7 linked regions of the Cricetulus griseus genome follow. The protein of the gene in region 3 interacts with the protein of the main gene of each other region in a biochemical or structural test. Links are inferred from orthologs where the notes say so. Each region holds a gene or a part of one and is shown on either strand. Other genes may lie near its edges. The genes, in order: Chek2, Pin1, Pml, Daxx, Eif4e, Sp1 and Mapk7.

Evidence for each region.
Region 1: the proteins of Pml (region 3) and Chek2 form a complex in vitro, tested with the Homo sapiens proteins (2 studies listed by BioGRID, with this or other methods). The link is inferred for Cricetulus griseus from reciprocal best matches to the Homo sapiens genes PML and CHEK2.
Region 2: the proteins of Pml (region 3) and Pin1 form a complex in vitro, tested with the Homo sapiens proteins (2 studies listed by BioGRID and IntAct). The link is inferred for Cricetulus griseus from reciprocal best matches to the Homo sapiens genes PML and PIN1.
Region 4: the proteins of Pml (region 3) and Daxx form a complex in vitro, tested with the Homo sapiens proteins (2 studies listed by BioGRID, with this or other methods). The link is inferred for Cricetulus griseus from reciprocal best matches to the Homo sapiens genes PML and DAXX.
Region 5: the proteins of Pml (region 3) and Eif4e form a complex in vitro, tested with the Homo sapiens proteins (4 studies listed by BioGRID and IntAct). The link is inferred for Cricetulus griseus from reciprocal best matches to the Homo sapiens genes PML and EIF4E.
Region 6: the proteins of Pml (region 3) and Sp1 form a complex in vitro, tested with the Homo sapiens proteins (2 studies listed by BioGRID, with this or other methods). The link is inferred for Cricetulus griseus from reciprocal best matches to the Homo sapiens genes PML and SP1.
Region 7: the proteins of Pml (region 3) and Mapk7 form a complex in vitro, tested with the Homo sapiens proteins (2 studies listed by BioGRID and IntAct, with this or other methods). The link is inferred for Cricetulus griseus from reciprocal best matches to the Homo sapiens genes PML and MAPK7.

What each region holds. Positions count from the first base shown.
Region 1 is NC_048597.1:90,621,420-90,625,518, reverse strand, and holds the start of Chek2 (serine/threonine-protein kinase Chk2), read right to left. Parts: upstream 2,801-4,099; 5' UTR 2,721-2,800; intron 1,632-2,720; 5' UTR 1,579-1,631; coding exon 1,272-1,578; intron 910-1,271; exon of another isoform or gene 640-909; intron 1-639. Other genes in the region: iron-sulfur cluster co-chaperone protein HscB, read left to right, coding at 3,045-3,277. UniProt on the Homo sapiens protein: Serine/threonine-protein kinase which is required for checkpoint-mediated cell cycle arrest, activation of DNA repair and apoptosis in response to the presence of DNA double-strand breaks.
Region 2 is NC_048597.1:133,534,173-133,538,310, reverse strand, and holds the start of Pin1 (peptidyl-prolyl cis-trans isomerase NIMA-interacting 1), read right to left. Parts: upstream 2,801-4,138; 5' UTR 2,722-2,800; coding exon 2,664-2,721; intron 1-2,663. UniProt on the Homo sapiens protein: Peptidyl-prolyl cis/trans isomerase (PPIase) that binds to and isomerizes specific phosphorylated Ser/Thr-Pro (pSer/Thr-Pro) motifs.
Region 3 is NC_048597.1:169,831,143-169,834,642, forward strand, and holds part of Pml (protein PML), read right to left. Parts: intron 1,755-3,500; coding exon 1,617-1,754; intron 1,212-1,616; coding exon 950-1,211; intron 667-949; coding exon of another isoform or gene 578-666; exon of another isoform or gene 553-577; coding exon 500-552; intron 1-499.
Region 4 is NW_023276806.1:232,098,472-232,102,569, forward strand, and holds the start of Daxx (death domain-associated protein 6), read right to left. Parts: upstream 2,801-4,098; 5' UTR 2,665-2,800; intron 2,531-2,664; exon of another isoform or gene 2,376-2,530; intron 1,406-2,375; 5' UTR 1,390-1,405; coding exon 1,183-1,389; exon of another isoform or gene 1,042-1,182; intron 909-1,041; coding exon 77-908; intron 1-76. UniProt on the Homo sapiens protein: Transcription corepressor known to repress transcriptional potential of several sumoylated transcription factors. Down-regulates basal and activated transcription.
Region 5 is NW_023276806.1:21,046,142-21,050,294, forward strand, and holds the start of Eif4e (eukaryotic translation initiation factor 4E), read right to left. Parts: upstream 2,801-4,153; 5' UTR 2,786-2,800; coding exon 2,756-2,785; intron 1-2,755. UniProt on the Homo sapiens protein: Acts in the cytoplasm to initiate and regulate protein synthesis and is required in the nucleus for export of a subset of mRNAs from the nucleus to the cytoplasm which promotes processes such as RNA capping, processing and splicing.
Region 6 is NC_048595.1:398,805,496-398,808,858, reverse strand, and holds the end of Sp1 (transcription factor Sp1), read right to left. Parts: intron 3,034-3,363; coding exon 2,720-3,033; 3' UTR 501-2,719; downstream 1-500. UniProt on the Homo sapiens protein: Transcription factor that can activate or repress transcription in response to physiological and pathological stimuli.
Region 7 is NC_048600.1:75,495,193-75,499,317, reverse strand, and holds the start of Mapk7 (mitogen-activated protein kinase 7), read left to right. Parts: upstream 1-1,325; 5' UTR 1,326-1,519; exon of another isoform or gene 1,520-1,710; 5' UTR 1,711-1,726; coding exon 1,727-1,958; exon of another isoform or gene 1,959-1,983; coding exon of another isoform or gene 1,984-2,008; intron 2,009-2,072; exon of another isoform or gene 2,073-2,094; intron 2,095-2,543; coding exon 2,544-2,709; intron 2,710-3,721; coding exon 3,722-4,125. UniProt on the Homo sapiens protein: Plays a role in various cellular processes such as proliferation, differentiation and cell survival. The upstream activator of MAPK7 is the MAPK kinase MAP2K5.

The sequences.
Region 1 (4,099 bases), about 79 Mb from region 3:
TTTGTTCTCTTTCTTGCTTGCTCTCACTCTTACTGGCAAGGGCATTCCTTCGCCGGCAGTAAAGCCTACTTCAACAGGATCATGGTGTATACTGAACACCAGCTGAGACATCCAGCTTTATGAACTGAACAAGTAATTGCTAGATTCTTGGACCTCCCATGGGTAGCCATTGTTGGACTAGCTGGACCACAGCCTGTAAACCACTAGAATAAGAATGAATGTATAGGGGGCAGGAGAAATGACTCAGCGGTTAAGGGCACTGACTGCTCTTCCACAGGACCCTTGTTCAATTCCCAGCACCCACATGGCAGCTCACAAGGGTCTGTAACTCCAAGATCTGACACCCTCACACAGATATACATGCAGGTAAAACACCAATACACACAAAATAAATAATTTTTTAAAAAATGAAATATAATAATGAATATCAGTTCTAACAGTTTTGTTCCTCTAGAGAACCCTGAATAATACAAGTATCTTTCAGAAATAGCTCTGGATCAACCGGATATCCACATACAAATTATAAATTTGAACCAGGTATGCCTGGTATGTGTAATCTCAGCTACTCAGTAGGCTGAGACAAGAAGTTCGATGCAAGTTCAAGGCCATGAGGAACTACATAGTGAATTGCAAACCTACCTAGGCTGCAGAATTTCTTGTCTCAAAAATAATGAGTAGCCAGTCGGTGGTGGCACATGCCGTTAATCCCAGCACTCGGAGCCCAGCCTGGTCTACAGAGCGAGTTCCAGGACAGCCAAGACTATACAGAGAAACCCTGTCTCGTAGAGCCTGATAATATATTCGTATAAAGCCAGCACTTGGGAAATAGAAGCAGGAAGATCAAGAGTTCAAAGTCAAGCTCAGCTACATAGTGAGATCAAGGCCAGCCCAGGCTATGAGACCTTTTCTCTGAAAAAAAATGAAAGAAAAAGATAAATTTTGAGGCCAGCCTATGAAATTTCAAAAAATTCTATTTGATAATAAAAATAAGGTAGCTAGGGATGGAACAACAGATGTAGCTCACTCTACCATGCATAAGGCCTAAGTCTGATTCTTTGCACGAGGATCAACCAGGAGGAGAAATAACAGTGAGTACATGGCAGGTAATGGCAGCCCAGGCACTCCACCACAGCCTCCACTTTTTTTTTTTTTTTTAACTTTTTTCTCACCTCTAACCAGTTATAGGGGCCCTGAGATTTCTGTTGCAACAATCTAACCACCACCCCTGTTTCCCTGAACAATACATTATACTATATAACAAAATGCCTTACCCAGATTGGAGAATCCTTCCTGAAGAGACCATAACCTAGCCCAAGGGGCAGGACCAGGCTCCTCAGGTTCTGGGTCCTCAGGAATAGAGCAGAGCTCCTGGGTGGACACTGTCTCTAAAGAGCTCAGTGTCCCAGAGCTGGAATGAGAGGACTGGCTGGAGGATGACACTGTGCCGCTAGAGGAACTGGATGTGCCTTGAGACTGTGAGGAGAGGTCGTGTAACTGAGAGGAAGTGCCTTGTGACTGAGTGAAGCCACCCTGGGACTGTGAACAGGAACCACTGCTGTGGGACTGCTGATTCTTCATATCCGACCTCAAAAACAGAGTCCAACAATGAGGGGAGATTCAAGGAGCGAGGCCTAAAATTCAAGAACGAGGAATGGAAGCTGGAGAGATGATGCAGCAGCAAAGAACAGAACTATTCTTGTAGAACCCAAAAGTTCAGTAAGTTCCCAGCACCCAAGTCTGGAAGCTCAAGATTGCCTGTGACTCCAACTCCAGTGGGTTTGAAGTCCTCTCGTGGCCCCTGAAATCACTTGCGCTCACGTGAGCATACTCCTGCACACGTAACATATAATTAAAAATAAATCTTTACCCAAAGCTAAGTGAAGAATGTGAATATAACTCAATAGTAGACGCAAAGTCCTGGATTCCATGCCGAGTACCACCAAACATACGAAGCGGAGAACGGGTATACTTAGGGACTGGAGAGACATCGCGGCGGTTAAGAAGAGCACGTTGCTTTTTTGAGTTCAGTTCCCAGCACCCACATCCAGGAGCATACAAATGCCAGTAGTTCCAGCTCTTTGGGAATGCACTGCCCTCTGCTGGCCTCCCTGCGCACTGTACAGACTTACACAGACACATGATTTTTAAAAATAAATTTTTTATAAAAGGAACAGGCATATTATGATCACCTCAGAAGGGCAGAATCATTGATGAGTTTTTTTAAAAAAAGTGACCACAGCAAAATTTCAGGATCACGAACAGAATTTATCGGCCAATTACACAGCGCTAGCGTGTAGAGAAGCTGAGAATGGCTGGTTGCTTCCTATCCACTCCTTGCCACCCTACCCCACACACTTCCTTACGTACTCACTCCAGTTCCTGCAGAGCCTAGCAGCGATGTTTGTGGTTCTCAGTAAATATTTGGGAAGAATGAATCGGGGACCTGGCATGATCACTAACATTTATAATACTCGCTATGAAACTACTTCGCTCTCTGGCATTGAAGAGCCCAACTCTGTGCCTTCCCATGTCTCAGCTTGTAAATAACAAGAGAATGTCCCCCTCGAAGAGCAGCTAAAAAACAAGGAAGAGTCGCCTGCGTGCAGAGCTCTCTTGCACACACAGACCAGGCGGAAGCTGCGAAGGGCCCCTTTGCAGAAGACCCTGAGACCCGATTCGAATCCTCAGACAGGCAAGAAAAATTTCCCGCTAAAACTCACCGCGAAAGAACACCTGGAGCCACAAACACCCCAGACCGCCGCAACCAGTGGTGTGGCGCTAAACCTACCCATGCAAACTCCACCCTCAGCCAATCAAAACGCCTTTCTGCTCGGCACGACCAATAAGAAGACCCGAATGTGGCTGCCATGCGTTAGCCTCAAGGCTTGCTGGGAGTTGTAGTTTAGGATGCAGAACGGGACTCGGCATCCTGTTTTACCGAGGCTGATCCCGCCTCCTCGGCTCACTAAACCAATCAGCAACGAGTCACTCTTGCTTCCTTTCCCTCGAGTCCCTCGACCCAGGCCAGACGGGCGGCTGTCCGGATGTGGGGCTGCCGGGCCCGTGCTTTGGTTTGCGTGTGGGAGGTGCGACTAGCTGGGTTCCTGGGAAGGAGACTGCTGAGCAGCAACGCTGCCTCGGGCAAGAGCAATGCGGGCCAGTGCTGGAACTGCGGCAGCGCTGGGGGTGTGGAGAGTGGGGATGGGTTCTTCTGCGAACACTGCCGCGCCTTGCAGCCACCTGACCCGACTCGGGACTACTTCAGCCTCATGAATTGGTACGCGCGGCGCAGAGTTATGGGAGGGCGAGTCGGTCTTGGGGAGCTCGGATGGCCGAGTTAGTTAAATTAGGCAGGCGTTACCCTGGTGCTTACGACTTGGGTCCTCGCCGGCGGGCCTGTAATTTCCAGCCAGCTGGAAGACTGAGGCAGGAGGACCACGGTTCAAGGCCAGTTTAAGCAACTTACCGAGACTCATTCAAAACGAACAAAGCAAAAAAAAAAAAAAAAAAAGTATATAGGTCATTTGTATAATATAGGACCTGCTGAGATTTTAGGAGTTTGCCTGAGAGGAAGAGGAAATCAAGTTACAGACTGGAAAGAAGGTAAGGGTGGAGGCGGGGATGAAAGCGTAAACTTGCAGATGCCTGCAATGTAAGCACTTGGGAAGTGGAAGTGGGAGGTTAAGGAATTCAGGACTAGCCTCTGCTACAAAGGCTTTGTTTTTAAACATCAGCAACAACAAAAGGGAACAGGCTCAAGTTTACAGTATAGGGAGGTTTGAGGGGCGGGCTCCTGGAAAAGGGGATTCCAGAGGCTGAACTCCAGGGAGGAAAAAGGAGCAGAGTTTGTTTTTCAACTTGTAGTTCTGACTCTACCTCCCCAGTGCTAGGATTAAAAGCATCTGGACTAAAGTAGGAGGATCCCCAGTAGGTGCCCAACCACAAAAATAGGGAACATTCTCATCTCAAATAAGTAAATATTTTAAAGGAGACAATAAAAATAAAACAAGTCGTCTGTGTTGATGTATGCCTGTGAGCTCAGAGGGTGAGGCAGGATTACAGATTTGAGGGCAACCCGAGCTATACAATGAGTTTGATG
Region 2 (4,138 bases), about 36 Mb from region 3:
GGCAGATACCTCAAAGGAGGGGGGGTTCAAGACAGGGTTTCTCTGTGTAGCTCTGGCTGCCCCGGAACTCGCTCTGTAGACCAGGCTGGCCTCAAACTCAGAGATCCACCTGCCTTTGCCTCCGGAGTGCTGGGATTAAGGTCGCACGCCACCACTGCCAGGCCCAAAACTTTATTCTTAATCCTTACCCTGGTGGCCTAAATTGAAGAGCAAGAAAGCAGCATTACTGGGGGGGTTGATGTCATCTAAGGGACATCTAGGTGACAGTGAGGAGCATAAAGAAGGTAACTCAAAAGCTTAAGGGAAAAGCCTGGCTTGATGGGGCACAGTCTAGAACTAGGGAGGCTGAGGCAAGAGGATAGGTGTCTGCTGTTTGAAGCCAGTCTGGGTAAGTTTGCAAGACTGTCTCAAAAAAACGTGAAGGAGACCTGGTTGTGGTGGTATACACATGTAGGATTTGCTGAAGGAGGTGGAGGCAGGAGGATCACAAATTCGAGGCTAGCCAAGCAGTGTTGACACACACCTTTAATCCAAGCACTTGGGCTGCAGAGGCAAGGGGACCTTTGAGTTCAAGACTGGCCTGGTCTATAGAGTAAGTTCAGGACAGCCAGGGCTAAACAGAGAAACCCTGTCTCAAAAAACAAACAAACAAACAAAAAACAGGAAAAGGGGGCAGGGGAGGAGGGGAGGGAGAGGGACCAGGGATTGACATATAAAACAATCTTGTTTCTAATTTAAATTTTAAAAAATTAAAAAAAAAAAAACAGGAAAAAAATAGTGAAGGAGGAAAGAGGAGGGGCAGTGAGGGACATGGCAGGAGCTTGAAAGAAGGACCCAGTAGATTCTGGGTCACTCCAAGGGCTTAGAGTCTTTCTGGGTTACATAGGTGACTCAGCATCAAGAAGGGCCGGATGGCTGGGTGGTGGCAGCTCAGGTCTTTCCCAGCACTCGGGAGGCAGAGGCAGGTGGATCTCTGTGAGTTCAAAACCAGCCTGGTCTACAAGAGTCAGTTCCAGGACAGCCTCCAAAGCCACAGAGAAACCCTGTCTCAAAAAACAAAAACAAAACAAAAGTCTATGTAGCTCAGGATAACTATGAACTGGAGAACCTCCTGCTTCTGCCTCTTAGGTACTGGAAATTTATCTACGTGCTACCACACCCACCTAGAAGTATGTTTATGCTTAGGCCAGGAATGGAGCAGCCTGGATAGGAGCAAGGACTCTAGGGCTAAATACAATAGGCCATCTCCCTGAACCTCAGCTTTCTCATCTGAAAAACTGGGGCAAGAGAATAAGGACATCAGAACTAGGCATGGTGGCACATGAGTGTAGTCTCAGTGCTTGAGAGGCTGAAGCAGAAGAACCATGAGTTAGAAGCCAGCTTTGGTTACACAGCAAGACTTTTATCTTAGTGTGTGATAGTAATCCCAGCACTCAGAAAGGTGAGGGTGGGGACCAGAGGTTCAAGAAAGCAAGTTCAAGACTAGTCTTCTCCCCCCCCCTCTCAAATTTAAAAAGAAAAAAGAAAGAAAATAGCTGTGGGTAAATGTGTTTGCAGCCACGTCTGAGGATGTGAGTTTGATCTCAGGTACTCTCATGGTGAAAGAAAGAAAAAAAAACCTCCTGCAAAAGTTATTGTCTGATCTCCACAAGCATACACACAAAATATACTACTACTAATATTACTAATAAAGATTCTGTCTCAATAAATACATTGGGCAAAGTGGTGCATGCTTATAATCCCAACATTTGAAGGGCTAAAGCAGGAGGATCTAGCAACCTGTCCACGTGAGATCCAGTCTAACACCCTTTCACCTCCCCCTCCCAAACAAAAGGGTGAAAGACACATTAAACCTAGCCGCGTTAATTCAGAGAGAGCTAATGTATACAGTGTCCAGCACCCTGGTGCTCAATAAGAATAAGTGAGCTCTGTAGGCAGCAGGACCCTGGTTCTACCGGAGATGCCTATCCGCTCCTCAGGGCGTTGCCACTGACACTGGCAAGGGGACTCTGGCGGTAGGAACTCACTGCATTCCCAGTCCCTGAACTGCATCATTTGGCGAGTTCTTTGCGTGTCCTGGCTTCAGTTCCCTCACTAGAAAAATGAGAGCAAACCATCCCTTGAAAGACGGGCACGACAGAGAAACGGGAGAGAGAGAGGGGAGACCGGGAAAGGGAGAGGATGAGCCAAGGAAAGAGGGAGGGAGAGAGGAGGGGGGGGCAGGACGGAGATGAAGGGATCTAGGGAGGGTGGGGGACGTACAGACTTGTGAACGAACTTGAGCTCCTTTAAGCCAGCGCTGTCGCAGGATCCCGTGCTGGAGATGAGCCGGCACGTGTCACAGATGCTGCCCCAGAACCCAAATCAGGGCGGCCCACGCCCTCTAGAGGCACCGGGTCGGGTCTCCTCCTCCCAAAGGAGCCCCGCGGTGCAGCCTAGTGTCCTGAGGACGTCCGGCCCGGTGGTGAGCGACGGGCCGGCGTGCCCGTGCCCGCCCCACCTCTTGCCTCGGTCTCTGGCTCTCCGGGCCCGTTACGCCGCGGAGCCCAGACCTTCACGCCTAAGGCAGGGCGCCTGTCCTCGTGAGCTCGGGCCCGCCTTCTGCAATCTCGCGAGGGCCCGGCCCGGCCCGGCCCGGTCCCTGGCCGACCCCCAAGACGTACCTGAGCTACGACTCATGCGCTTCTCCCAGCCCGGCGGCAGCTTCTCCTCGTCCGCCATCTTCCCTCCTGCCGCAGCGCCCGCCCCGCCTCCGCTCCGCCCCGCTCCGCCTCCGCAGCTGTGACCCCGCGCCGGCCCAGCGCCACTGTCGATTGGCTCGCCCGGCTCAGACGCCCGTTGGACGGCCCCACGGCGCCGCTAGAGCGCTAGCATTTTATTGGGCTCACTCGCGGCTTCCTGGACCGCCCCTGCACACTCTCCGCCCCCCCGTCCCGACACCGCCGCTGATTGGCCCACCTGGAAGCGTCGCCCATTGAACGCTCAGGATTCCTTTAAGCGTCAAAAGGTCTCTGCAACCTTCTTGGTGGGCTTAGCCCGCAGAGTAGAGCTTATTGATTGGCTCCTGCGGCAACCAATCCCGCCTTATTGAGCCGTTCTTGGAGGTCGGCCAGCCTCCACGCGGAAGCGGCTCGCTGGTAGGGAGGTATTCGGTACTTTTGCTGTATTTTGCCGTTGCCATAGCAATTCAGTTGCCTTGGTGATAAGAAGCCAAGTGCCCAAAGCCTAAATTTGGCTTTTTGGTTCTCTTCCCACCTGTTTCCTCCAAAGCGACGCCAGTCCTTTTTGGGTTTTGCAAGGCTAATCATTTCTTTCTTTCTTCTTTTTAAAGATTTATTTATTATGTATACAGTGTTCTGCCTACATGTAGACCTGCAGGTTAGAGAGGGCACCAGATCTCATTGCAGATGGTTGTGAGCCACCATGTGGTTGCTGGGAATTGAACTCAGGACCTCTGGAAGAGCAGGCAATGCTCTTATCCTCTGAGCCATCTCTACAGCCCCAAGGCTAATCATTTTACCCACTTTCCAAGTTTTCTTTAGAACCTACTTCAACTTATTCCTTCTCTGCCTGACTCCTTCCTAGGTTCCTGGGCTGGGCGATGGCATTATCACTAGGATGAAGAAAAGGAATAGGCTTAAGTCAATTGATAGTCTGTGGAGGAAACTGATGTGGTGGTGCATTCCCAGCACTCAGGAGGCAGAGGCCAGCCTGGTCTATGAAATGAGTTCCAGGACAGCCAGGGCTATACACAGAAACCCTGTCTCAAATGAAACAAAAGCAACAACCCTCCCCCCCCCAAGAAAAAGGAGAGAAGGAAAAAGGTCTGCGGAGGGCTACAGAGATGGCTCAGTGATTAAGAGCACAGACTGAGCCGGGCGTTGGTGGCGCACGCCTTTAATCCCAGCACTCAGGAGGCAGAGGCAGGCAGGCGGATCTCTGAGTTTGAGACCAGCCTGGTCTACAAGAGCTGTTCCAAGTCAGCCTCCAAAGCCACAGAGAAACCCTGTCTCGAAAACCAAAAAAGAGCCTGGACTGCTCTTGCAGAGGACCTTTTCAGTTCACCAGGTCTGCACATGGTGCACATTCATGTATACATGCAGGCAAAGCATAACACTTTACAAATGTTGCTTTATGC
Region 3 (3,500 bases):
ATCTCTCTACATAGCCTTGACTGTCCTGGAACTCACTATGTAGACTAGACCAAGCTTGAACTCACAGGGATCTATATCTACCTGCCTCTGCCTCCCAAGTGCTGGGATTAAAGGAGTGAACCACTATATCTGGCTCATTGATTAACCGGGAAATAAACTCTTGTCCAGCTTTCATGGAGAACTTAGCAGATAGAAAATATATAAGGAAGCTTTTAGAAAAGAGCTTCGGATATTCCAGAGGACAGCCAGGTCCTGAAGGAAGCAGTCTAGCAAGCATTTCAGAGGCACTCTTGCCTGATGCCATGAGAGGGCTATGGTTCAATAAACATGCAGTCATTACTTGCAGACTCTCCTTGGTACAGTTTAGAGGCTTTTTATTGCCTTGCTGGAAATTTTCCCATGTGCCAGATGAGCCTGAGAGTCACCTGCTGTGACTGCAGCCTTTGGGGCTTTAAATGAGGGGAGGCAGGAGTCCTAGGCTGAACTCCAAGTTACTCACCAGATTCTCAGTATCTGAGTCTTCTGAGCTGCTGATCACCACAATTGGCTCTTCTGAAATGGAGAGGAAGTGGTGGCATTAAGTCCTTCCTGAAATGTCCACTGGCTGGGGTGAGAAGTGGCCACCCAGGAGAGTCCTTGTAAGCTGGAGGTGACAGATGCCCTGACCTGTGTGCATCAGGAGGAGATGGAGTGTATATATCTCTAAGGCACAGTGTTTGGCACTGGCCGAGTTTGAAGGAAAGGAGTCAGAACTAGGGCATAGGTCCTCAGGTGTCCCACACTGGAATCACAGCAAAGTACAGTGTAAATGACCTCCACCATACTCAATGGCAGCTCAGAGTAATGTGTACAAGGGAATCCTGGTGACTTTGAGTGCCCATGTGGGATTAGAATGTGAGATGGGGGAATGAGGGTCTTACCCAAGTACCAGCCTGCCTGATCTCCCTACCTGCTTCCCCTGTGTCACTGGTAACAAGGTTGCTGGTGAGCAGGAGGGTGTCTTCTTCTAGGACTGGACTCTCATCAGTGTTGGCAGGCCCATCCACATGGCGAGGTGAGATGGCCTTGGAAGTGCTGGGCCTGGGCTGCTCAGGGGAGCTAGTGCTCAACCTGTCCTCATTCTCTTCTGTGGACTCCACCTTGATGATCTTCCCAGAGCAATTCCTGTGGCAGCACTTCCTCTTCCTGGGGGTGACTGTCTGAGAAGCCTCCTGCACAGTGGAGAGTTATAGGGGTGATTCAGGTGTCTCCAGTGTTGTTGGGCTGAGGACCCTGAGGTGAGTGCCAGGGGCTTGTGGCATGGTTTTGCTCCTGTTCCTTTGGCCTTGGTGACCATATCTCTGCAAACAGGAAACTCTTTTGGGTTGCCATGCACACTGACCAAGGATCTCTGTTGACCTCATGGCTTTGGCTGTGTCAGCATCTCAACTGGGTTGAGAGTGGCTCAGGCTTATTGGGAGGGGAGCATCCCAGGCCAACGGAGAACACGGAGAACACGGGGCACAATCTGAGCAAATAAAGACCTTGGGAAGGCACAGATTCTCATCCAGCTGTGCCTCACTGTTGGTTGGAGTCTGACCCTTTCAGATGAGGCTGGGCTGAGTAGGAGGACTTACCTCTCTATAGGTGGGGCTTTTCATAGAGAAGGCATACACTGGCACAGGCTGTGCTCCAGGCACTGACTGTACCACAGCCACAGAGTGGGTCTCAGACATATTCAGGGCCTGTGCCAGTTCCCTCTGTACTTCATTGGGCTGTAAAATCAGGTAACAAAAAGTCAGAAATGGCCAGGGACCCTGGGCCTAACAATCTGCCTCACTTATAAGCTTCTAGGTCTGGGACAAGTAGTTTTTCCCGAACCCTCCATGATGTCACCTCCTTCTGACCTTGGGTTGCTGGTACCCAGGCACCACTTCAATTTCCTGACAGGGCAGGAAGACACCTCAGGGACCACAAGGCCAACTCCTCAGAACATGCCTGACAACTAGCCTAGCTTGCATGCCTCTAGAGACAAGCTGCTTCCTGTTGAGAGCAGCACCTCAACAGTGGTGGAGTTGCAGCAGTGAGAAAATCCAAGCCCAGCCTCCCAGAGCTTGCCTCTACCCAGCAGAGTACAGTAGAGTTCAGAGAGCCTGGACTTCTATTGTTTTTAAGATGTCAGCTAATGGCTGCAGGATATCCTGGCCTCTGTGGTGAATAGCTCCTATCTAAATAACAATAGACCTAGGCCAAGGTGAGTTTTACACTCATCCTTAAGGCTAGTGATATGTGCTGGTCTGGCGTGCCTGACAGCCAAGTGTATGTGCAGCTATGAGTGTCTTTAGGATTAAGGGAAGTAATTACTATCTGCCGTTTATACAAGATAATAGATGTCTTCTGCCATTGTCCCCACCTTTGGATGGTTACTTAAGATGATGTATGAATAAACTGGGCACATTGACTATTAACTCACTGCCCTCCTGATATGATCTTATGTCTCTGTCTTTTCTTTAACCAGGATAGCTAGTCTTCCCTCATCACACACTCCCTGACTCAGGAATGGACCCAGGGCCATTCGGTTTGTTCGGATCGCAGCTCCCCCCCCCCCCACCAACATCAGTCTTCAACATAGGGCCCCTCAACGTGGGGCTAATACAGACAGGGCCTGACACTAACCCCAAGTCTTAACTCTGTCCAGCAGCTGCTACACATTGGGATAATTTAAAACTCACTGGACTTCAGTCTCCTTCCAAAAAATGGGATAATAACATTTGCTTCATATGGTGATATGGCTGAAACGGGCCAAACACCTTCAACATATCTAAAAGAGTATGTAGTACACAGAGGGTTCCACTAGTGGGGGTGATAAAGATGGCTAATGAATGTCACAGTTTTATTACTATTCCAGGTCAGACTTGGTGCTCAGTGTTTTGAGTATCTATATCAAAATGGAAGCAGGGGCAGTTTCTCAAAAAGTGAAAAGGGAGCTGGAGAGATGGCTCAGAGGTTAAGAGCATTGGCTGCTCTTGCAAAGGACCGGGGTTCAGTTCCCAGAACTCACATGGCAGCTCACACCCATCTGTAACCTCAGTTTTAGGGGACCTGACACCCTCTTCTGGCCTCTGCAGGCACTGCACACATATGGTACACTTACCTGCAGGCAAAACACTTATACACATAACATAAAAAGAAATAAATTACCACATGACTTACCAATTCTACTCTTAGGTACTACTCCCCCCCCAAAAAAAAGTACTAAAGGTAGATGTTCAAATGCAAACTTATATATGAGGCTGGGCAGGCAGTCCAATGGTAAAGCCTACCATGTGCCAAGCCCCAGATTCGATCCTCAGAACAAGAGCAAAAAGTTTAAGCATCTTATCTTTGCCTTTATAGCTATGAAAGTGCTGGCTGTCATTCTACTTAGGCCAGGAACTCCCTGTAGACAAGGATGAGTGCCTCTGCTTCTGTTCCCTCAACATCCAATCACCAACATTAAAGAAGCAGAAGACAGTAAGAGG
Region 4 (4,098 bases), on a different chromosome or scaffold from region 3:
AAAAGAGAAAGCAGGGTCAGGGGCGTAGCCCACGTAACCTAAAGGACCCCTAGGAGGCATCCCAACAGCTTCCTACCTGGCTTATAGTCATCTGTGAGGTGGCAGCCAAAGTTGTAGATGAGGTCGAGGTGTCGGCGCTCCTGTAACCTGACGCCCACATCCCGGAAGGCATCCTGAGCCATGAGCTGGAGCTGCTGTCGGGGAAGGCCGAGATTGTGCCGGGTGGCCGCCCTCTCCACAGCCCTCAGCACGTCACCATAGTCAGGAAAGGCATCAGGCCCTGGCTTGTTGATGAGCCGCTCAATGCGCCTGTTGACCTCTGGGTAGCGCGTGCCACGGTAGGGGATTCTTTGCTCTATGACCCGGCCAGTCAGGGAGGAGCAGTCCTTCAACTCACACAGCCGCCCAAAGAGGTGGATCAGTTTCCGCTTCAGACGGGCCTCCTGCAGATACGTGGAGTCAGGGTCGTCCAGCTCCGAGAGATCCAACTCCTTCTCCTGCAGCCGCCGTATCTCTGCCACATACAGCGCCAGCAGCTGCTCCAAGCGCTGGATCTGCCTCCTCGAACCACGGGTCCTTGAGGCCTTGGAGGCAGTGTTCTCAGCATTTGTAAGTTCAGAGGAGGACTCTGTGGGAGGGTTATCACCAGAGGGCTTACTGGGTGTGGAGGGTGCAGGAGCCAAGTTCAGCTTCTTCTTATTTGAATGGGCTTTAAGAACAGTGCAGAGCTCATTAATGTAGACATACAGCTTAGCTGGCCGGTTCCGAGCCCGAGACAGAACCCGGGACATGATGTTGCAAAACTCTGCAGAGGCCAGAAACAGAGACTGGGCACGCTGCTGCTGTTTGTGGAGGAATGGAACCACCTCAGGGTGGTCGGATGTCTGTACCTTACACAGTTCGAGGAACTGAAGAGTTCGTGGAAAGGGTGGGAGACAGGAAGGCATTTAAAAAAAAAAATGGAATTAGTGGGAAAATCAGAACAAGAGAGCCAATCCCCCTTTCCTTCCATCTTCCCTGTCAGGTCATAGTGGTTCACACCTTTTATCCCAGCTCTCAGGAGGCAGAGGCAAGTGGAACTCTGTGGGTTCAAGGCCAGCCTCATCTAGACAGTTCCAGGCAGGCAGGGTGACACAGTGAGACCCTGTCTCAAAAACAAAAGGCGCCTTCTCTGAAGCTTACCTCTTCAAACAGCCTCTCGTTCTCCAACTTGTAGCACTTCCTGCCACCTGAGTTACGGCTTCTTCCATTCCCATGGGACTCAGAGGGACCAGAGGCTTCTGGCCCTGGTGAGACAGGACTGGAGGGGAGCTGTGAGGGCCCCGCTTGAGCAGCTGCTTCATCTTCATCGTCGTCATCCAGCACAATGATGCTGTCAGCGGAGGCCATGGGGGATCAAATCCCCCTAAGGGAGGAAGTGTTGGAAAAGTCAGAATTCTAGAACAAGGGGACCACAGGAAGAGCCCCTCCTGCAGAGCCCCACCCCAGCAGGGACCCTCAGTCCTGCCCTAACCCTCTTCAAAGCCCGTCTTCAACAACTACCAGTTTCAAGCAGTTCTGGGGAGCAAACCTCCGGATCATCTTAAATCCCCACCCTGAACTCCACCCCTCCGTCAATTTCCGGTCTGTCAGTTTTGTTTTCCCCTCTGTGTCAGCTGGGAAGTTTCTTCTTATCCCAGGACAACGTCCACACTGGCCTCTTGAGTTCCCCTGACCCTGTCTACAAAACCCAACACCCTGTCGGTTCCACCGTCTCCCTCAAACACCACAATGGAAGCGCTTCGAGCTTTTCCCTTTTTCTGTTTTTCAAGGCAGGGTTTCCCTGTGTAACAGCCCTGGCTATGCTGGCACTCGCTCTGTAGACCAGGCTGGCCTCGAACTCAAGAGCTCTGCCGCCCGAGCGCTAGGATTAGAAGGCTTGAGCCACCACCCTAAGTCCAACTCATTGACTCCAGCTGAAGCCCGTCCCCTCCTCCAGTCCCCTCCGCGTTCCACCTCCCACCGGGTTTCCTCAACCCGGGACCTGAGGGCTGGAGACCTTCACCCCGAGTCCCCGCCCTCTCACCGCACCCCGGCTCGCCCCGCAATTCTCCGCGGCCGTAACCGACAGCGAGCCCCCCGCCGAGCACGCCTGGCACCCGGGCTCCCGCCCCATCCGCGCCGGTCCCGGCTCAGCTTCCCGCCAAGGAGCCCCTCCCCCCGTTGACCAGGCCGCCTCACTCCCCTCGACTGCCAGCAAGGCAGCCCGCGGCCCCCAGGCCCCGCCGGCCCCTCGCTCTCGCCACGCCGGCCCCACCGCCACCGCCACCGCCTCCGCCTCCGCCACCGCCACTGCCACCGCCACCCCGAAACGCGCACGAGGGCCCGGCCCCCACCTCTGAAACGGTCTCTCGAGGCCGTCCTCACCGCGGATCAAAGAACCTCGCATGGTTCCCTCCGCCTTCCCTTCCCCGCAGGCCCCACGACGGACCGGAAGCCGCGGAGCTTCCGCCCACCACACCTGGGGGCGGCCATGTTGCTGTACGGAACGCGGTCCGCCCCACGAGCCGGAAGTGCCGCGTGACCAACCCACCCAGGACGCGGCTCGCGGCGCCCGAGGGGGCGGGGCCCGGGGAGGCGGGGCGGAGCCCGGGGAGGTGGGGCGCGCCATGTTGCGGTACGGACCTTCCTCGGGGAAGGCGTGGGGCTCTTCGCACCCGGAGCGGCCCGAAGCCACTCGGCCAGTCAGGAACTCCGTGCCTCGGGCCTCCCCGACGCCGTCTGGGCGAGCCCCGGCTCCTGCGAGGGGAAGGGACCCGGCCCCGCCCCCGGCCCCGGCCCCGCCCCCGCGGGGCACCTACGGAGCGGGCTCCAGGGAACGACAAAGTGAAAGCGGGTGTCCCTGCCCCGGGTTGCGGGGCAGCCTGACGCTCCCTCCTCGCGAGTCTCGGCCGCGAGCACTCCTGGCGGCCCACGCTCGCCCGCGCTCGCCCTACCCGCCCCGGGCGCTCACACGCGTGCACACCAACGAGCTCAGCCAGCTGCACAAGTGAGGAACTGTTCGCAGGCCGCCGCTGGCAGCGCCGGGACGCGAAGGGAGGCTCCTCCTCCCGGAGAGCTGCGGAGAAAAGGGGCCGGCAGGTGAGGCCCGCAGGGGTGCCCGTGGGGAAGCCGGGTCGGTGAGCACCCTGCCGCACCCCGCCTCCTGTCCGGTGCCCCAACTAGCTTACGGCATTTAAATGGGGAAAGGAAGTTCTTCAATGGTTAATCATTGATTATCATCTGAAGATGATGAATATAATTTCCTTATCCGTGGGTTTCTCAGAATGGGTTTTCCTGAGTGGATGCCTGAAATGAAGATTCCCTATCTTCTTTTTTTTTTTTTTTAATGATTTTTTTTAGGTACGAGTGCACTGTCCACATGTATGCCTGCAGGCCAGAAGAGGGCATCAGATCCTATTACAAGTGGTTGTGAGCCACCATGTGGGTGCTGGGAATTGAACTCAGGTCCTCTGGAAGACCAGCCAGTGCTCTTAACCTCTGAGCCATCTCTCCAGCCCCAAAGATTCCCTATTTTTCCACAATTATTTATTTTCTCGTGTGTGTGTGTGTGTGTGTGTGTGTGTGTGTGTGTCCCTGTAAGTCTCTGTGCACAATGTGAGTGCCTGGGAAAGTGAGAAGGGGGACCCTGCCTTTACATAGTGAAGCAGTCATCTGTAGCCCCAGTCCCCGGGCATCCAGTAGGGCGAGCTCATAATGACCATGCATGTATGCAGGCAAAACACCCATACAAAGTCAAATAGATAGACTTTTAAACAGCAGTTACACGAGCTGACAGCAAGTCCTAGGCTCTGAGAGAACTTGGAAGACTAGGAGGTTGAAAGAATAAATGTAAGAGCTGGAAGATGGAGAAAAGTGCTGAGTGGGGGTGGGGGCTTCCATGGGAGCCAGAGGGGGGTGGGGGAGTGACAATAGAGGTGACAATGACCAGAATACATTATATAATGAATACACATAAACATGAGCTTTACGCTGTCTGGTCACTTCTGTTCTTGCAATAATTCCAATTACTCAGAAGAACTTTGTCTTACGTGTGCGGGTGTTTTGCCAGCATGTATG
Region 5 (4,153 bases), on a different chromosome or scaffold from region 3:
TAAGCATCGTCTTAAAGTCTGTCTGCACAAATCTTAGAGCTGAAACAAAGCCCTAGAAAGCTTATCAACACTAAGCTCCCTTTCTCAAGTTACCCTCCATGCCCAGCAGATAGCAGTGTGATGCTTACAAGCACAGCCAGAACTCGGCTGCCTTAAAGGTTTCCTCATCTGTGAATTAAGAATAACTCCACTCATCTAACAGAACTGCTGCAAGCAATAAATGAATATATATAAAATACTTACTCTGAGGCCCAACACACTAAGTTAGCAATTAATAAAGATCTGCCTCTATTAAAAATAGTCGCTACAAAAGCAAACAGTTGTTACAAACAGGCGGTGACTGAAAGGTCATTTTTTAAAAAATTACTTGCTTAGAACACTAAATCCACATTCCTGGAAATACTAGTCAGGCTTGTAGTCCACCTAAGCCTCCCATCAATTTCCATGGAATAATGTATTTTTAAAATTACAATATACAAAGAGGAACACACATTCAGAGACAACTACTTGTTTCTGACTGTAAGACAAAAAAAAATGACCTTTTTTTTTTTTTTTAGATGAAAAGCAATCCTTTCTTCTCTAGATGTGACTAGACTCTGGTAAAAACAGGAAAGTCGACAATACCTGAGCTGTGATCATAGATTTCACATTGCTTGCTAATAATGGCCAAGGACTGACAAGAATTTTCCAGCACAAGATGTGCGCATGCAGAGAGGTGCCGAACCTTGATTGAGTACAAACATTAGATCCACACAAGTGACACATATCATCTCCAATACTCCATTTAAAAATCAGGGTAAAATTAAGCTATTTGATTCCCATTTTTACCCGGACTAAGAAATTTCAATGTTCCCCACTCCCAGGAAAATTTAAACAAGACTGTATAAGCCATGCTTAATCCCACTCCTCAGTCATCTCCCTGAGAAAGACCGCACAACTCATAATGTAACAGAATCGAGTCTCCAGTGTGGCAGGGAAGGAAAAGGAGCAATGACTATTGACACGATAACTATTGCACATGTCTCCTATTATAAGAGGGCTGCTGGTACTTCTACTGACCTTTATAGTTTTAGCCTTCTAGAACAGTGGTTTTTCAACCTTCCAATGCTGTGACCCACCAATACAGTTCAAGCTGTGGTGACCCCCAGCCATGAAGTTATTGTTGTTTCTACTTCATAACTGTTATTCTACTACTCTAGGAATTACAACATAAATATGTTTCTGGTGGTCTTAGGCAACCCCTGTGAAAGGGTTTTCACCCCCCAGTTGTGAGCCACAGTCTTAGAAATTAAGTGTGTCATGAAAGTGCTATTGCTCAGGACTTTCTGTTCAATCTGGATTAAGCCAATCTGAAAAATTTTAATTGATTCTATGTAACTATGATGCATAAAGTGTATATCCACATTTCGTTTTTCTAAGTCAAACAATCACACAGATTCAGAGTATAAAGTGAAGTGAAATGTGAAATAACTAAACAAAGTTACTAATAAAATGAGTTCCTGCTGGAGAAATGGTTCAGTGGTTAAGAGCACTGGCTGCTATTCCAGAGGAAACGGTTCAATTTCCCACACGGCAACTCACAACTGTCTGTAATTCCAGGTCCAGGGGACCTGACACCCTTACACAGGCAAAACACCAATCAATGCACATTAAATGAATAAAATGAAATGAAGCATGGATTTAACTTTTAGGGCTAGAGAGACAGCTCAGTGGTTAAAAACACTGGATGTTCTTCCAGAGGACCTGAGTTCAATTCCCAACACCCATATGGCAGCTCACAACTGTCTAACTCCTGTTCCAGGGATCTGATACCCTCCCACACAGACATACATACAGGCAAAATACCAATGCACACAAAATATAAATAAATAAATTACAAAAAATGAGTTCTCAATTAAAAAAAAAAATTGTCAATCTGCTTACCAATAAACAGCTTTTCGGTTGATACATTTTATAACTTTTAGTGCTTTTCCTTGTTTTTTTTTTAAGCTTTTCACACATATATTTACTTATTTATTTCTCTATGTGTGTGCACTTGCCTTGGTGTGGACTTGGAGATCAGAGGACAATTTGCAAGAGGTCCTGTTTGCAACCTGAGGGTTCTAGTCTCCAACTCAGACCCTCAAGTTTGGCAGCAAACACCCTTGCCCCTAAGCTATCTATCTCAGTGGACCTTTTCTCTTAGACTTTATTTTGCTTTAAGACAAGGTATGACATGTAGGCCAGGCTGTGCTCCAATTCACAGTTCTCTTGCCTCCACTTCTGAGTGAGTCCTCAGGTTACAGGCATGCACCACCACAGCTGGCTTCTCCATGTTTGCCAGTCTTATTTTAAAAGCAAGGCTAAGTATAAAGAGAGGAAATATCTGGACTAGGTGTGATGTTGTGCACCTGTATATATCCCAATGCTAAAAAGGCAGAACTCCCAGCTTTGATCTATGGAGTTCCAAGACAGACAGACAGACAGACAGACAGACAGACAGACAGACACAAGTTCCAGACCTACACACAGACACACAAAAAAACACATTTTTTAAATAACAGGAAAAACAGCAGAAGAAAAGTAAGCTATCTAAAAGGAAGAACCCATAGAATACCATCAAGGACATGGTCTACCATTTTCACTAAGTCTAATTTTGACTTTCCTCAATTCCAAACTAAGAGGAGCAACCATTTTCCACAGGTTCTGTAAAGCAATATATTTCCCCTTTGAACGTCTCAATCTCTATCTGTAAGCCATTACTTGCATAACTAACCTCAAACACTGATTGAAAATGACTGATCATTCGAGGGGCGTTGGTGACGAACACCTTTAATCCCAGCACTCGGAAGGCAGAGGCAGGTGGATCTCTGTGAGTTCGAGGCCAGCCTGGTCTCCAGAGTGATTGCCAGGATAGGAACCAAAGCTACACAGAGAAACCCTGTCTAGAAAAACAAACAAAAAAGAAAATGATCATTTATGGATTTTCCATAGATTACTGGAAATACTGACAAATACTTATAAAAGGTTGGATATGTAAGGAGAGAAGTATCACCTACTCATGACTAAGTAAGTTGCTCTCAACTTTCCTAATCCTGCAACCCTTTAATACAGTTCCTCATGCTGTGGTGACCCCAACCATAACATTACTTTTGATGCTACTTCATAATTGTGATTTTGCTTTTATGAGTAGAAATGTAAATACCTGTGTTTTCAGATGTTCTTAGCTGACCCCTGTTGAAAGGGTTGTTAATCCCCCAAAAGGGGTCAGGACTACAAGCTGAGAACCACACTGCTCCAGGTGCTTACAATTCAACACACTACAAAAAAAAAAAAAACTAAAGAAACACACACAGCAATAACCAAGTAAGACTTTTACAAGCTTTAACACAGTTCCTCAACTGCAGTCCAATAGTAAAATATAACAGCTGCTTTAAAAAAAATAAAAAGATCTGAAACTGAAGAAGCACCAGCGTAGTTTAGTAGCAGAATGAACTTAGTGTACACCAGGCTCTGAGCTGAAAATCAAGCACCAAAACCAAATCTGTTGTTGTTGTTTATTTGCTTTGTTTTTCAGGAGAGGGTTTCTCTGTGTAGCCCTGGCTGTCCTGGAACTCAAAATCCACCTGCCTCTGCTTCCAAAGTGCTGGGATTAAAGGCATGCACCACCAAGGCTGGGCTCCAAAAGCAAATCTCAAAAATATTAAAAATACCATGAGTAGTCTAAAGGCAGGGGTGTTACAAAAAGAAAAACAAGTACCTCAATGCCACTCTGCACACTATCTCCAACTAGCTTCAATGCAACTTTCACAACAGAGTTATCACTAGGAATATTTCAACTCTGACCCAAACCAGGCTCCTAAGGAACAAGTACAGACCACATTTTGTACAACTCTGTATTCTAAACCTCACTTGGTACCCCACCTTAAACATATCAACAACTCAGAACTGACTTAGAACAAACTCTAAAGACACTAAGTTGTGGTTTTAACACAATCCAAGACTTGAATGTAACTGAAATATCATAGAACATATTACTGTTTTATTGCTTAGGGTCTTTTTCAGTTTTGCCTCTATTACTGCCCATACTATTTTCCCCTAATACTGGTAGAGAAAAGTATAAGACTCAGAAGTAGATACCAGAACTTGTCAAGAGAGTTTACGTTAAATTTAA
Region 6 (3,363 bases), on a different chromosome or scaffold from region 3:
GAAATTGCTCCCATTTTAGGGTCAAATAAGACACTGGAGAAGAAAATAGGAAAAGTAGAAGAGGTCTGATGCAAATTAATTCATGGTAATGTTAATGAAGCAGATGTTGAGTGTAAATCATCAGCTTTTCACCCAAGAGAGAAAACACTATCAAATAACTTCTCTACAGGCTTATAGTCCTTGGCATCATTATCTAATCACCTCACACTGAACAAGATTCTATTCCTTGAAATGATCTAGCAAAATACTGCACACTCCAGTGAGTTATCCTGCCTGCCCCTTCCTCCAGAGATGCCATAGTACATGATTATAGACATAAAATAACAAGGTTTGAGTTCTGCTTTTCTGTGGGGATAAAAGGTTCATGGTGACTGAGGACAGATAACTTTTACTTCAACATTAATAACGTGATCTGGGAAAAATGCCTTAAAATATTATTTCCTGAGTCTTGATAACAGTATTAAGTCTGCACAGAAAGGACCAAATGAAATAGACTAATGTTACAGGATTAACAGCTCTTGTATTTCAGACTAACAACACCACAAACTTACCAAGAATCTAGTTTAGATGGAATTCACATAAAATGTATAATAATAGTATAATCTATTTGTAGCCAAGATAAAGAAGAGTTTAAAACAAGGACTCTGCTATAGATTTGGATGTTGATTTCATTTTCAAACACAAAAATAGTTTCTTCTTTAGAAAGTGCACTAGGAGATCCCCCACCCCATTCATAATTGTAACTGATTTAGCATAAGCAGAGAACTGACCTCAAGAACATACCCAAGTTTTATAACCAATTCCTAGGTAACAGGCCTGAAAGGCATTTTAATCTGAATTTACTTTCCAACAATTTCAAATATAAGTTCTCATCTGCACGTAGATATATACAGGCACAAACACCCATTCATACACACAGTCATACACAATTTACTTTCTCTATCAGATCAGGGTAATTTTTTATTGCAGGTCTCTTTAAATATTGGCTAACAGAAAACCTATCCCCAACCTAATAGATTACACACATACACACAACCACTTCCACACTTCCTCACAGTGAAAGGCTCTCTGACAAGATACCAGAAGGTCAAGAGAGACAATGCTTTAATGGCTGGGCCTTGAGGACAATTCTGGTTGCATTTAAGTCTCGGTGTCAAATGCACTGAGTTTCCCTGCCGATATAATTTTTGGATCAGTCACTTCTGGAATCAGGCCATGGAAAAAGCAGGATAATTTCTCCCGATCTCTCCTATAATCCACAGTGGTAAGACAAGATTTCTTTTTGTTCTGGGCCATCGTTCCCATGATTGTGTGCTTCCCTTTCCCTTACAAACACCCACGTACATATAAGGAAGAGTTAAGGGGGAAAATTTTTAAAGAACTATTCTTTTGTCACTGGCACAAGTTTTGCATTCTACAGCATGAAAAGTCAGAACAGATTCGCTGGCTAATGTTCCTTAACATTCAAACATTAACAAGAACTACAGAAATGTTCAAAAGAGGAAGTGTACTTCCTTTCAGTGTGTGAACTCAGAAGCCCCTACATTAAGGCTTAGGGCTATTTGGAAGACAATGATACTGAAATCCAAATAATTCCAATAACTGAGACTGAGTTATTTTCTTTTCTGAGAACATCTTTTTCCTACTAAAAGCTGCTGCCTACTATTTGACCATTTTTTGACAGTTTATACACACTGATCCCAGATTATCTCTCTCCAAGGGCCTTTTAAACAATTCCACATAGAGACTTCTGACTCCGGATGTTTAGAGCAGCTAACAAAGGGAAATGGTTTTGACTCTCCAGCACTGAGAAGGTGCCTGCGTCAGTAGTAATAACACTCCCCATAGCTACTTCAAGCATCAGGCTGCACTTCAAGGCTGTCCATTCTGCAGTTGGAACTAAGCTCTTTAAAATAATGAGTGAAGGGCCTAATTCAGAGATCATTGTCAAAAACAACACAGGAAGTGATCATGTGAGAGAAGGGGAGAAAAAAAAAAGACTGAGTCAGGAAAGGAGCGCAAGGAGCTGATCCCAAATAAAATGACAAAAATTAAGGAAGAAGACACATTATGTATGTATATATGAACTAAAAGCACAGCATTTGCTTACTCTGGTGGGATGCCAGGACAACATTTATAGAAAAGCTTGATGTGTCATGATAAGGCTCAGCCATTGAGAAATAAGGCAATATTAAAAAAAAAAAAAAAATGACCAAGGTATTTTTTGGTCACAAAATGGTCTTTTTTCCTCCTCCCAGCCAACCCCTGTGAAAGCATCTCTATATATTTTTTATATATATATATATAATATAGAATCTGTTTTTGTTAAAAAGTATTTCAATGATCATATATATTTATCAAGGCATGATGGCTTTGGGGGTGGGGAGTGGGGATCCATCATGGGAGAGCTCAGAGGGGAAACGCAGGAAGGGGAGGCTGGGGTAAGAAGTGTAAGAAGAACCTGGGATGAAATAAATGCTTATCAAAGGGTGGCACCAACAGAAATTTCACTAATATTTTCCATTTTCAAGAAGTCACCAGTGACAGATTGGTGCCACAATCCCATCTCTTCTCTTGTACCCTCCCCCAATTCTTCCCACCACCAAGCACATTAATGCCTCATGGCTCTCTCTTCCACATGTCTCTTGGACCCATGCTATCTTGCATCCCAGGCTTGGTGGGTATTGGCCCATATGTCTCTGGCTCTAGGTATCTAATCTCAGAAACCATTGCCACTGATATTAATGGACTGTAGCTCTGTCACCTGCATGACGTTGATGCCACTGTTGGCAAGACGGGCAATACCCTCTGGACAGATGGCTTCCATGGCTACCATATTGGTGGCAATAAGGGCTGAAGGAGTGGCAGTGCCACTGCCTTCTGAACCTGCCCCACTGTCCAGGGGCAAAGTGCCCACACTCAGGGCGACACCTGGGCCTCCCTTTTTGTTCTGATGGGTCTTGATATGCTTTGACAGGTGATCACTCCTCATGAAACGCTTGGGGCACTCAGGGCACGCAAATTTCTTCTCACCTAAATAAAAAAAAGCAAAAGATAACTTAGTTCAAAAGTAGTCAAAATAAAGATTGGGTTGATATTTATCCTTCAAATCCCACTTAAGGGGGGGGGGCTAGAAAGATGGCTCAGAGGTTAAGAGCATAGACTGCTCTTCCAGAGGTCTTGAGTTCAATCCCAGCAATCACAACCATCTGAATGAGATTTGGTGCCCTCACTGTATATATAATAAATGAAAAAACCTTTTTAAAAAGTCCCATTTAAAATGGAGCTCCTTCTTAAAACCTTCCAGATTAATCCAAGTGCTCTTTGAGACACACTGTTTCACGTATAAATTGTTCAGGATTT
Region 7 (4,125 bases), on a different chromosome or scaffold from region 3:
TGAGTATTATACCAGTGCAGTTATGCTGGGCTTTTTTATGGGTGCTGGGGATCAGAACACAAGCACTGTCTCCCCAGCTTCCTCCTCAATATCCATGGGTGTAGTAAAACAAAATGCAATGCCTACTTTTCTATTTTGATGTACATTTCATAATAAAACTCCTGAAACCCCTAAGTATAGATAATGAGTAACAACAGCCACAGACCCAAAAATCTGTCCTAGAAACCGAAAGGACTTACTGTTTTGAAACAGGGTTCACCGTGTAGCCATGGCTGGCCTGGAACCCAGTATGTAGACCATGCTAGTCTTCACAGAGATTCGCCAGCCTCTGCATCTCCAGTGCTGGGACTAAGGGTGTAAGCCATCATGCCCAACTTTTTAAAAACATTTAATTTAAATCAAACATGCGTGGAATAAGTTTGTGAAAATGTATTGATGTGGGAAACTTTCTGCATGTATTTTGTTACAAAGTACAAACATAAACACCTATGTATGTACACTTGCCAAAATTCATTTCTGGTCGGGACCCAACCTTCAGCTTTTAGTTGAGAACTGCGTAATATATGTTAACCGGGCACTCAGAATTTACTTAGTTTCATCCCAGTTTCTCCCTCCACATTTTTCTTGTCTCACTGAGAAACCCAGACCTCTTTGGAGTGGGCAACACCCGAGCTGCTACCGAGAACCTTTCCAGCGCTGGGGTTAACAGCGCTCACTTTTGCCTTCTCCGGATGACCCATCCGTAGCGGGATGGCGAGGAAAGGAATCATAGGGTGAGGGCTCTGTCGCGGTCCAGAGGGCGTGTGCATCCAGGCCTGGGACGCTCTAGAATCCGGAGGACTTGGGTCTCCGTGGCTACTACTCCGGGACCGGGCGTCCAGAACTTCCGGCGCCAAAAGAGTACGATGCAAATCCCTTAGGAGATGAGGCTAACAAGAGGAGCCGAAAGGAAAGGGAGGGGTGCGGAGCTTGTTGTCTAGGTAACAGCTCCCCCCCCCCGCCCCTTCCCGTATCTCCACCCTTTCGGGTTTATGGAGCCCGTAGGCCCTGACGTCCAGGCAAACGTAGCAGTGTTTTGCCCTCCCTTCTCCCAGCTCCAGAGGCTGCTAGCACGCATGCGTCAGTGTTGCGGGGATGCGCGCGCATCCCTGAGGTGCGCGCATCACCCCTTGGGCGGCTCCCGCCGCGAGCTGGACAGCGAGGAACGCGCGCGCGCGCGCGTGCGTGCGAGACAAGGGCGCGGCTTCCTCGTCCGGTGAATTCCGATTGGATAGAGTAAAATGAAGAGGCGGGAACCTCTACGGGGATCGCTCAATGATTGGCCAGAGACTGGAGGAGCGTGGTCCCGGGGTGGCCGGCGGGGTGGTCTGGCCCGGCGCGCGCGAGGCTGAGGTGGTAGCTGTGGCCCTTGATAAGTGACCGAGGCCAGGGGAACACTCTCGTCGCTACGTTGGCAACACCTGGGAACCCCAAGTCCCCGAGCAGGCGGCAGGCGTGGCGGCGAGGTGCCGGCGGGTCGGTGAGTGCGGTCCCGGGAGCCCCAGGGCCCCGCCCCTCCCTTTCTTCCGGGGCCGCGCCGCACCCCCTTGAGCCCCTACTCTCGGGACACAGGGTTCGCCGCGCCAGCCGCCCCCTTTCGCCTGCTGAGCAGGTTCTGCCTCCTAGCTCACAGAGGGGAAACTGAGGCCGTCAGGGCGGTCCCCTCACCAGGGTCTCCACATACACCATGGCTGAACCGCTGAAGGAGGAGGACGGCGAAGACGGCTCTGGGGAGCCCCCTGGGCGGGTGAAGGCAGAACCCGTCCACACGACGGCCTCTGTCGTGGCCAAGAACCTGGCCCTGCTCAAAGCCCGCTCCTTCGACGTGACCTTTGACGTGGGGGACGAGTACGAGATCATCGAGACCATAGGCAATGGGGCCTATGGGGTGGTGTCCTCGGCGCGCCGCCGCCTCACGGGTGAGCTGGCTTCCTGAGGCTCAGCATGTGTGGACTGCTTTCCAGAGGCGGTGAGGAACCCGCACGGTCCCAGGAGGGGTCCCAGGAGGGTCAGCTGCGCCGGGGACTCTGGTTCCACTCATCACTTACCGACTAGGTGCCAGCTCCCCGCTAGGTACCCTTCTCAGGGACCCTGCTTCTCCCAGTCAGCCTATACTTCCTCCTTAGGATAATGATATCCCTATAAGCCAGAATAGAGAGGTGCTCCTTGGTGTCCAGAAAGATAACTTTTAGAGCCAGAGATTGGCACAATGGCTTGGTGATGGAATGGGGAAGATCTGGGATGGAGAGCATATGTGAGGAGGGAGAGTGAGCTCAGGTAGTACAGTCAAGGCCACTGCTAACTATCTGTGTCTCCTCTGTATGTGAGCTATTAGTACCTGCCTCATGAGGTAGTTGTGAAATTAAAGTTTGGTATATGTTACACACAGGGTCTTGCACATCGTAGGTACCTGTTGTTACTTGGGTTCTAGAAGAGCGGTGTTAAAAGGGGCCTGCAATTACTTCAAGGTACTCTCTGGTATATGTCTTTCTCATGCTCTCCAGGCCAGCAGGTGGCCATCAAAAAGATACCCAATGCTTTTGATGTGGTGACCAATGCCAAACGGACCCTCAGGGAACTGAAGATCCTCAAACACTTCAAACATGACAATATCATCGCCATCAAGGACATCCTGAGGCCCACTGTGCCCTATGGAGAGTTCAAATCTGTGTAAGGAGTGGGGAAGGAGAAGGAGACATTGTTGGGGCCAGTTTAGAAGCCCAGGGCCAATACTGATGTTCTGGAAGGGCATCTGAACCTAATGTGAGACAGGCTGGGAAGAGTCCCATGACTCAAGGACCAGTGAGTGTTCCTGTAGAACATTGGTAGGGATGGTTCTTGTTTCTCAAGAAGAGTACAAGGGCTGGGGATGTAGCTAAGTGGTAGAATCATGAGCATCTTTGAGGGGGTTTTGTTGTTGTTTTTCAAGACAGGGTTTCTCTGTGTAACTCTTGTTGTCCTGGAACTCACTCTGTAGACCAGGCTGGCCTCAAACAGCAATGCACCTGCCTCTGCCTCCCGAGTGCCACTACCACCTGGCCCACATCTTTGAGGTTTCAGGTTGACTCTTCTGTATTGGAATAAAAAAAGGGAGGGGATATATTTCTTTATTTGGGCATGCCAATTTTGCCTATGTAGTAAGTTTAAGGCTAGCTTGGACTACATGAGACCCTATCTCATAAGACAAAACAAAAGACCCAGACAACAACAAGAGAGTGAGAGAAACAGAACAGGTCCAGATTTTATAAGATAGCAGACACAGGACATTGTTGTGTCATGATACCTTCCTATTCTTATGGCAGATATAACTAATTAGTCACAAAATACTTTTTTATTTGTTTGTTTGTTTGTTTTTTGAGACAGGGTTTCTCTGTGTACCTTTGGAGCCTATCCTGGCACTTGCTCTGTAGACCAGGCTGGCCTCGAACTTACAGAGATCCGCCTGCCTCTGCTTCCCAAGGGCTGGGACTAAAGGCGTGTGCCACCAACGCCCAGCCAACTTTTAAGCTTTTTGTGATGTAGAAAAATCTAGAACCTGATGCTATTTTTTTTTATATCATCTGCTAGTCCTTTAGGGTTTCAGTGTAAGGCCATAATATCTAGAATTGAGAGGAGGGCTAGTGAGGATTGTGCTTGTCCCTGTAATATGAGACCAGCTCACACCTTTTGTCACCATTTCCAGCTATGTAGTACTGGACCTCATGGAGAGTGACCTACACCAGATCATCCACTCCTCACAGCCACTCACACTGGAGCATGTGCGATACTTCTTGTACCAGCTGCTTCGGGGCCTCAAGTATATGCACTCTGCTCAGGTCATCCACCGTGACCTTAAACCCTCTAACCTTTTGGTGAATGAGAACTGTGAGCTCAAGATTGGTGACTTTGGAATGGCCCGTGGGCTGTGTACCTCCCCTGCTGAACACCAGTACTTCATGACTGAGTACGTGGCCACTCGCTGGTACCGTGCCCCTGAACTCATGCTTTCCCTGCATGAGTACACACAGGCTATTGACCTCTGGTCTGTGGGCTGCATCTTTGGTGAGATGCTGGCTCGGCGACAACTCTTCCCAGGCAAAAACTATG